2 linked regions of the Rattus norvegicus genome follow. The protein of the gene in region 2 interacts with the protein of the main gene of each other region in a biochemical or structural test. Links are inferred from orthologs where the notes say so. Each region holds a gene or a part of one and is shown on either strand. Other genes may lie near its edges.

Region 1 (3,423 bases), about 68 Mb from region 2:
CAGCTTAAATGGCTTCCACAAAATGGCAGCAGGCTGGGCTCCTTGCCTCCCTTTTAGAGCATTAAACTCCCTGATGGCCTGGAAGCACAGGGGCAGATCTCTGCAGCGGCACTGTGACTGCCCTACTAGCACTTGGTATGATGAAATACCTCAAAGGCAACCTAGAAACTTGATCTCACAGAAGCAGGTGCAGAGTTGCTTCTGGACCTGTAACAGAAGGGAAGGAATAGAACAGTGGGAGCCAAAGGGAAACAAAGTCACACGGTGGCGCTGCAAGTGATACATAAGTAAACATTAGCACAAACCAGGGCAGCAGCACCCACCTCCCTGCTGCTACCAGAAAGCATTCTCCCCGCTTCCCTGTCTCTTCACAACAGCTGCAGGAAGGGATCGGAAACCTGTCTCGGTGCTTATTTGCTAAAACTCCCAACTGCAAGCTCTCCCTAGAGGAGCAGGACCTGTCGGAGTTCAGACAGTGTAGCCCCAGTGGCCCATGTGCTTAGGTCAGCCACTCAAGACTGTCCTGACACGGGAAGAAAGGCCTTTGTTTTTCCCTCCCCCAGATAGTTCTGCCGTGTAGGTCCACACCTTACTCAGAATCACTACACATTCCTTTAGTCTTCCTCCAAGCTCCAGAGCCATCGGTACAAATGCTTTATTGAGACAAAATACATACTACATATGGTGACATCATGAAAACAGAAGTCAGCCTCATAGATCCCTGGCTGGTTGAGGCAGCTCAGTGGCTGGGCGTAGTCAAGCCAACCCGCAGGCAAGAGTTCACTCTGACTTCGAGATTTGATGCTTATTCTTTGGATTTCTACAATTATTAAATCCGTGTCTGAGTGGTCTGCCTTTCTCTTTTGTGCTGTGAAGGTCACTGGGACGGGGTAGGATGGCTGTCCATGGCATCTTGCTTGCTGGGAGAGAAGCGGTAATTGCTGGTGGAGGTAGATTAGAGTGTCTCAGCCTTCTGTTCCCAGAGATGGGAGACTTGCTCCCTAATTGCACTAGGAGGTACTTCTGACCCCTCTGCTGTCAGGTGCCACGGTTGGGGAAGCTTCCATCCTGTTGCTATGGGATATCAGTCAACACTGTCTAAGATGAGATCTGGTTGCACTGTGGTCATTTGAAGGTAGATCCGCCTGGATAATTCTGGCCCAACACGGCGGGAGGTGGCTGTCACACCTTCCCCACGTCGCACCTGTATGTTAGCCAGCAAATTCTGGCGTTCTTGTTCAGAAAAACACTGCTGATAAGCCTGGAAGTGATAAATGACCTCTTAATATCATCCCACCCATCCATGGCCATCCCTTGGTTAGGATGGGAGATGAAGGACAGAAAAAAGATACAGGATAGGAGGGTAGAAAGGTTAAGTTGAGGCAGGAGAACCTTTCTCAGGCCAGCCAACCCACACTGTTGACCTATGTTCTTGGCCCCTCAATAAAACTTCCCCCAAGGGTGCTTGGAGAGCTGGGTCACCGAGAGCAGCATACCTGCACCAGGAGCTGTGGAGAAGGATAGGCATCCACAATAGCGCCGGCCATTTCTGAGCTGACTCGGTTCAGCTGCTGAATCTGCCGCCTCCAGATCAGTGCAAGTCCTCTACCAGCATGGTCCGCTTTCACCCCTCCAGCCCAGTCTTTCTCCAGGAAGAAGGAGAAGCTGCCTTGATCCCGGAGTTTCCTGCAAGGGCACCACGGGGGACCTGAGTTTCTCTCTCCTACTTACTTGTCCCTTTAACTGGGAACTAAAATGTTCTGCAGTAACCTGGAGATCGACTTAGTGTTACATTGGGCCAGTTTGAGTCTCTGTTCTCAAGCACAGTTTTAGTTTCAGGTTCCATTTAAAATTGCATTTAGTGGAGCTGGGGAGATGATGGCTCAGCAGTTAAGGGCCCTGTCTGCTCTTCTAGAGTACCAGATTCGATTCCAGCACTCACTACCGCCTGACTCCATTTCCAGAGGATCCAATGCCCTTTTCTGCCCTCAGGCACTGCACACACATTGTGCACAGACACACACAGGCAAAACACCTAAACACATGAAAAGAAGAAAATAAAGTTGCATCTGGGGCCTGAGGGCAGAAGTGAGTGGGTAAGGTGCTTGCTACACCTCTAACACCAGCCCTACTGTGAGATGGGTGTGGAGACAGAACCCCTGGAAGCTCAGGCAAATCATTCCTACCTGTGCAGTGGCAAAGGAGTCCCTGCGTCCTTCGCTAAGGACCTGCACTCAGGGTTACTGTCTGACTCACAGATACACGTACACATGCAAAAAAGTTAAATCAGTCCCTTCATCTAGTCCTTTTTATTAGAGAAGGTATCAATGTCATTGTGTGTGTGTGTGTGTGTGTGTGTGTGTCTGTCTGTCTGTCTGTCTGTCTGTCTGTCTGTCCCTGATAAGATGGTGTTGTACTGCCTAGGAGTAGGCATGGGAGACTGGGTATTAGACAATTTGGAATCTATTTCAGATTCTTGCTTGCTGGGAGCTTAAAACAACTCAATCTCAGGTCTTAGTTCCCTTGATATAAAATAAAGCACTTGGACAGGTTTCCTCTGAGGTCCCTTAGTTTTCAGTTCTGATTAGGTTCACTCGAGATTTAGTTCTGACTAGGTTCACTTGAGATTTGACCTGGTAACAGCATCAACTTATAGAATATACTTGCATCTGAGTTAAAGAGAATATTTTTATAAAGGGCTGGAATTGAGGCCTTTTTAAAACTTTCATTTTAATGTTACGTATATGAATGTTTGCCTCCATATATGTGTGTGTATCACTTCTGACCTCACAGGCCAGCAGAGGGTGTTAAATCCCTTAAAAATGGCGTCACAGACAGTTGTGAACCACCACGTGGGTGCTGGGAACTGTGAGTCCTACGCAAGAGCAGCAAGCGTTCTTAGCCACTGAGCCATTTCTCCAGCCCCCTACATTTGAGGCTCTGAATCTCCAGCATAAGATTGGCTTCTGCCTCAAAAGACACTGGGCTGGTGGCAGAGTTTTGGAGAAAGGCAATTTTCTGTGGCAGCAAGAACCAAGGGAAAAGCAAGACTTGGTGTGGAGGGGGGACTTGGCAGGTCACTCACTTGAAGGGCGCTTCAGCCACAGCCTTTGTAAATGCACAGGCGAAGTCGGCCAGCTCTCTCCAGCTCTGCACGATCCGAGCCTGGGCTTCTGTATATAGCTGCAGATCCACCAATGCCTAGAAACCCAAAGGCAACAGTGGACTGGAAGAGTGGAGGGACTGTTGGAAGTTGTCTTGATGTTCACTGAAGCTACACTCAACCTCTTGGCTCCAATGATCCCGCTTCTTACTCAGTCCGAGACAGACAGTGCTAGTGAACCTTCTATCCAGTCTGGGTTGGAGACCTACCTAGATACCCAGTGAGCACTCACCTGAGCAGGGCCACAGGAAGTTCTTACC
Region 2 (3,814 bases):
GGGTTTGGCCACATCTAGGTATTCAGGTACACCAATGGCCAAGAAAGTGCCAGGCCCTCGAGTGTCTGCATTGCGCTAACTTTCTAGGTTTGGATGGACTCAGATCAGTGCATGGAAAGCCCGGGAAGTTGTTGGCTCATTGCTGTGGTTCTGTCCCTATTGTTCCCTGTAACATAGAAGAGGCCCCAAAAAAGAGGTGCTCACTGACCTCTCTCTGTGGCTGCCCTTTAGTTTCAGCAACCATGTTGGAGATTTGAAACGGAAAGGAACCACCAATAAGAGGGAGCCACAGAGGAGATGGAAAGTCAGTAAACCTGAGGCTCCGTCCGAAGACCTGCTGGTGGCCATGGCTCTGTCTCGTTCTGAGATGGAGCACTGTCCAGTTGTGCCCCCACTCAGACTGGAAAATGCTTATTCTGAGAAGAAGGGGCCAGGAGCAGGTACATGTGGCCGAGGCAGGGCCGGGGGAGGGCTTGGCGACCAGTGGCTGGCTGAGAGTGACCATGGCCACCCCTGGGATAAGCAGTCAGAGCTACTTCTGACTGAGTCACTTCTGTTTATCTGTAGAGAAGAAAAGTCGCAGGAAGAGACCCCCGGTGTGTCCCCCACAGTTGGTAACCCAAGACTCTGAGACCACAAGTAGACAGATCGAGGATCGTGTCGCCCAGCTCCTGTCAGAGGAAACAGAACTGGCTTGTACCCCACCACTTCCTGCCAGCAAGATTTCTAAGGAAGAACGGGAACACGCAAGCTGGCGAGTGCGGCAGCCTGAAGGGAGGCGGGGCTTTCTGTGGGAACTCAGTGCCCTTACAGGAGCCTGGGTTAAGGAGTCCTTCTACACAGTGGGCCTGCTTCCTCCACTTGTGTCCCAGTGCCCTCCCAAGGTGAGCAGTGTCCTCCAAGCACATAAGCGGACAGGCTTGGGTAGTCTAGAAATGCACCAGACAGCAGGGCTGATGGGGAAGGCGTCCAGTAAGCAGGTTATGGAGGAAGAGACAGGCTCTTGGTGTACCTCATTCTCTCTGTGGCAACTCATTAGCACTTCTAAGAAAATGACTTTGGTCCCCAAATTCAGCACAGTCCTTAATTAAAATGCAAAGTCCAGGCCCAGCCAACCTGGCACAAGTCTTAAAGTCTGTCTGAGATAGAGCCTTGGAACCCTTGTCCTGCATACGCACTTCACACAGCTCTGGTAGGTGTGATCCTAAGTTGATATTCACCAGCCTTGGCCATTTAAATGACATTAAGTGGGCAACTAGTTCCTGGGGACCCTTCTGTTAAGTGGCCCTTCCGTACACTTGGAGGCATCATGTGGACCTGAGCTATTACAGAACCTGCCAACACAGTTGAGTTTTCCTAGGCTGCTCCTGGTTGTGACTGGCCTCCCTTGGGGGTAGGCCTGTCCTAGCCGTGCATGTGTAGGGTGGCTATTGCAGAGTATAGTAGTGTCGGTGACAGTAACCATATAGTCACTAGCTTTTCAACTTCTTTCAGGAGCCCGAGCTACCCCTGGAGCTGCCCAAACAACAAGAGCCAAGCACACAGAGGCCACCTGCTTCCCAGAGCAGCCTCCCCGTGAGCCACAGCCCCAAGAGCCAGCTGCTGTCCTCTAGCCAGAGGGAAGGCCAAGCTCTTCAGGACCTTGTGGACTTGGCAGTCGAGGGGCTGAGCTCTAGTCCATGCTCCAGGAGTGCGGGCATGCCCACAGGTGGGACACTGGGCAGGTTGTTGGGCCTGCCCTGTGCAATGTGAGGTCAGGAGGAACTCCAGTGTGGGCAGCTGGGAGGCTCTGCACCTCTCAGTGGAGAGCATGGATGAAGGTGCTCTCGTACCTTCCTCAGAGGAGAGGATGATGCAGAACATTCCGGTCTTTTCACAATCATCCCTAAACTTTAGCCCAAGACAGACTTCCTAGGCTAGTTTGTCTGTCCTACAGTCTTCCTACTTCCCTGTAAGGAGATGGGTAAAAGCAATTAAAGGGTTGCCTTAAGTAAAGGTGTCCTTAAATAGCATGTGTCCAGCCAAACCCAGGGTTGATACTGCCAGCTTGAGAGATGGCATCCTTCTGATCTACGAGTCCTTCTCTTAGGGTTGGACTTGGTACCTAGCAGCCTTCCACTGACGGGATTTGTTCTACCATGTCAGAAGACCCTTAGGAAGGATGACAGTGTCGCAGTAAGTACAAAGGCATCTGCCACAGCTGATCTGTGGGCTCTGCTCAGGCTCTGGTGTTTGCCAAATGTATGCCTTGACACCCGTGGTGGAGCGTAGAGTCCCAGGCCTCCTGTCTCATTTCTTGGGTCACTGTCACAACGTCTTTGCCACTGCTGTGCTTGGGCACTTCAGGTGTCCTCAGCAGCCAGTCTGCAGAGCCTTTCCAAGAGACTGCCTCCCTCTGTGTGCTCGTTTCTTAGTGATTTCCTTCATCGCTAAGGACTCGCTGTGCCCCTTCTGTGCATGGATTATGGGGTGAGCTCTAGCTCCCAATCCAGTGTACTGTGTTGGTAATGAATGACACTGGAAGATGGGTATCCGTGAGGACCCTGCTGTGCAGGGGCCATCTTGGTGATGTTCTTGCATGGAGGTTGGAAGTATTGGGTTCCTGCATAGCTCAGGCCCTGAGTCCTGTGCATGCAACGCTTAGGAGCTGTGAGGGCATCTTTATCCTCCACTGTCCCTCACACAGGCCAGGGAACACTGCAATAGAGAGCCTGGGAAGGAAAGAGCATTTGCCATGCTGGGTCCTTGTCTTCGGTATAACCCAGAGGCATAACCTCATGCCTCATCTGGGGATGTCCCGAGAGGAAAGCTGAGTCCTGGCTCATGGTCTCCCCTGCATGGGAAGTCAGCACAGCAATGGAGGAGCTCACACATCTCTCTTCCTCCTCCTCTTACAGCTCTCTCTTGGGTTATTGGCAACAGACTTTGGGGCCATGGTCAATAATCCGCACCTGAGTGATGTCCAGTTTCAGCTTGACAGCGGAGAGGTGCTGTATGCCCACAAGTTTGTTCTGTATGCTCGGTGCCCACTTCTTATTCAGTGTGTAAGTACGCAGGGGGCTGGACGCCTACCACCCCCCTTCTCTTTTCTCCTTTCCATTTGTATTTGCATCGTTTTGAGTCTCCTGATCCCCCTCCCTCCCTCCCTCCCTCCCTCCCTCCCTCCCTCCCTCCCTCCCTCCCTCCCTTCTTCTGTTGGGATGGCATGCTCTTGCTTCAGTCTCATGTTACAGGCTCCAGCCACCGTGGGGGAGTGCAGTGAGCGCTCAGTCACAGGAGCGTCCTATCTTCAGTCCTGCAGTAGGATGTCATCTGCAATCGTACTGGGCCGTAGTCATCTCTCCTAGTACCCTGTGGGGCTGGGCTTTTATTTGCTTTGTGGGTTCTTCTTTCTTTCACCCTCACTTCTACCTTGCAACACCCTGAACACTAGGTAGGAGAGGAAAAAGGGTAGAGGGGAAGGGGGTGACTATTAGATTACTTCCTGCTGATTGGGGCACCGCAGTTCCTTGGGGCAGGTTTGATCTTCACTGTCAGCCTCTCATTTCTTCTTTCCATCTCTTCACACACGACAAACCACAGCCCCTTCGGTCATGGCTCTAGCATTTATATATCCTCTAAGAAGTCCTCGGAAGTCCAAACGCCACAAAAACCACGCCCTTGCCAGAGCAGTAGGCAAATCATAGTCACCTACTGTGGACAGTCTAAAGCAGCCCCATATCCCACACCTGGGATTAAAACAAAAGCATCTTATATTTCTGTGTTTTTAAAGAAACCAAAATTCTCACTATACTCATGCAACCCACAGACCCAC

The links.
Region 1: the proteins of Slx4 (region 2) and Eme1 form a complex in vitro, tested with the Homo sapiens proteins (3 studies listed by BioGRID, with this or other methods). The link is inferred for Rattus norvegicus from reciprocal best matches to the Homo sapiens genes SLX4 and EME1.

The regions. Positions count from the first base shown.
Region 1 is NC_086028.1:80,082,972-80,086,394, forward strand, and holds the end of Eme1 (crossover junction endonuclease EME1), read right to left. Parts: coding exon 3,423-3,423; intron 3,202-3,422; coding exon 3,086-3,201; intron 1,687-3,085; coding exon 1,497-1,686; intron 1,262-1,496; coding exon 1,085-1,261; 3' UTR 614-1,084; downstream 1-613. UniProt on the Homo sapiens protein: Non-catalytic subunit of the structure-specific, heterodimeric DNA endonuclease MUS81-EME1 which is involved in the maintenance of genome stability. In the complex, EME1 is required for DNA cleavage, participating in DNA recognition and bending.
Region 2 is NC_086028.1:12,042,794-12,046,607, forward strand, and holds part of Slx4 (structure-specific endonuclease subunit SLX4), read left to right. Parts: intron 1-231; coding exon 232-440; intron 441-567; coding exon 568-884; intron 885-1,494; coding exon 1,495-1,708; intron 1,709-2,089; coding exon 2,090-2,175; intron 2,176-2,897; coding exon 2,898-3,044; intron 3,045-3,814. UniProt on the Homo sapiens protein: Regulatory subunit that interacts with and increases the activity of different structure-specific endonucleases.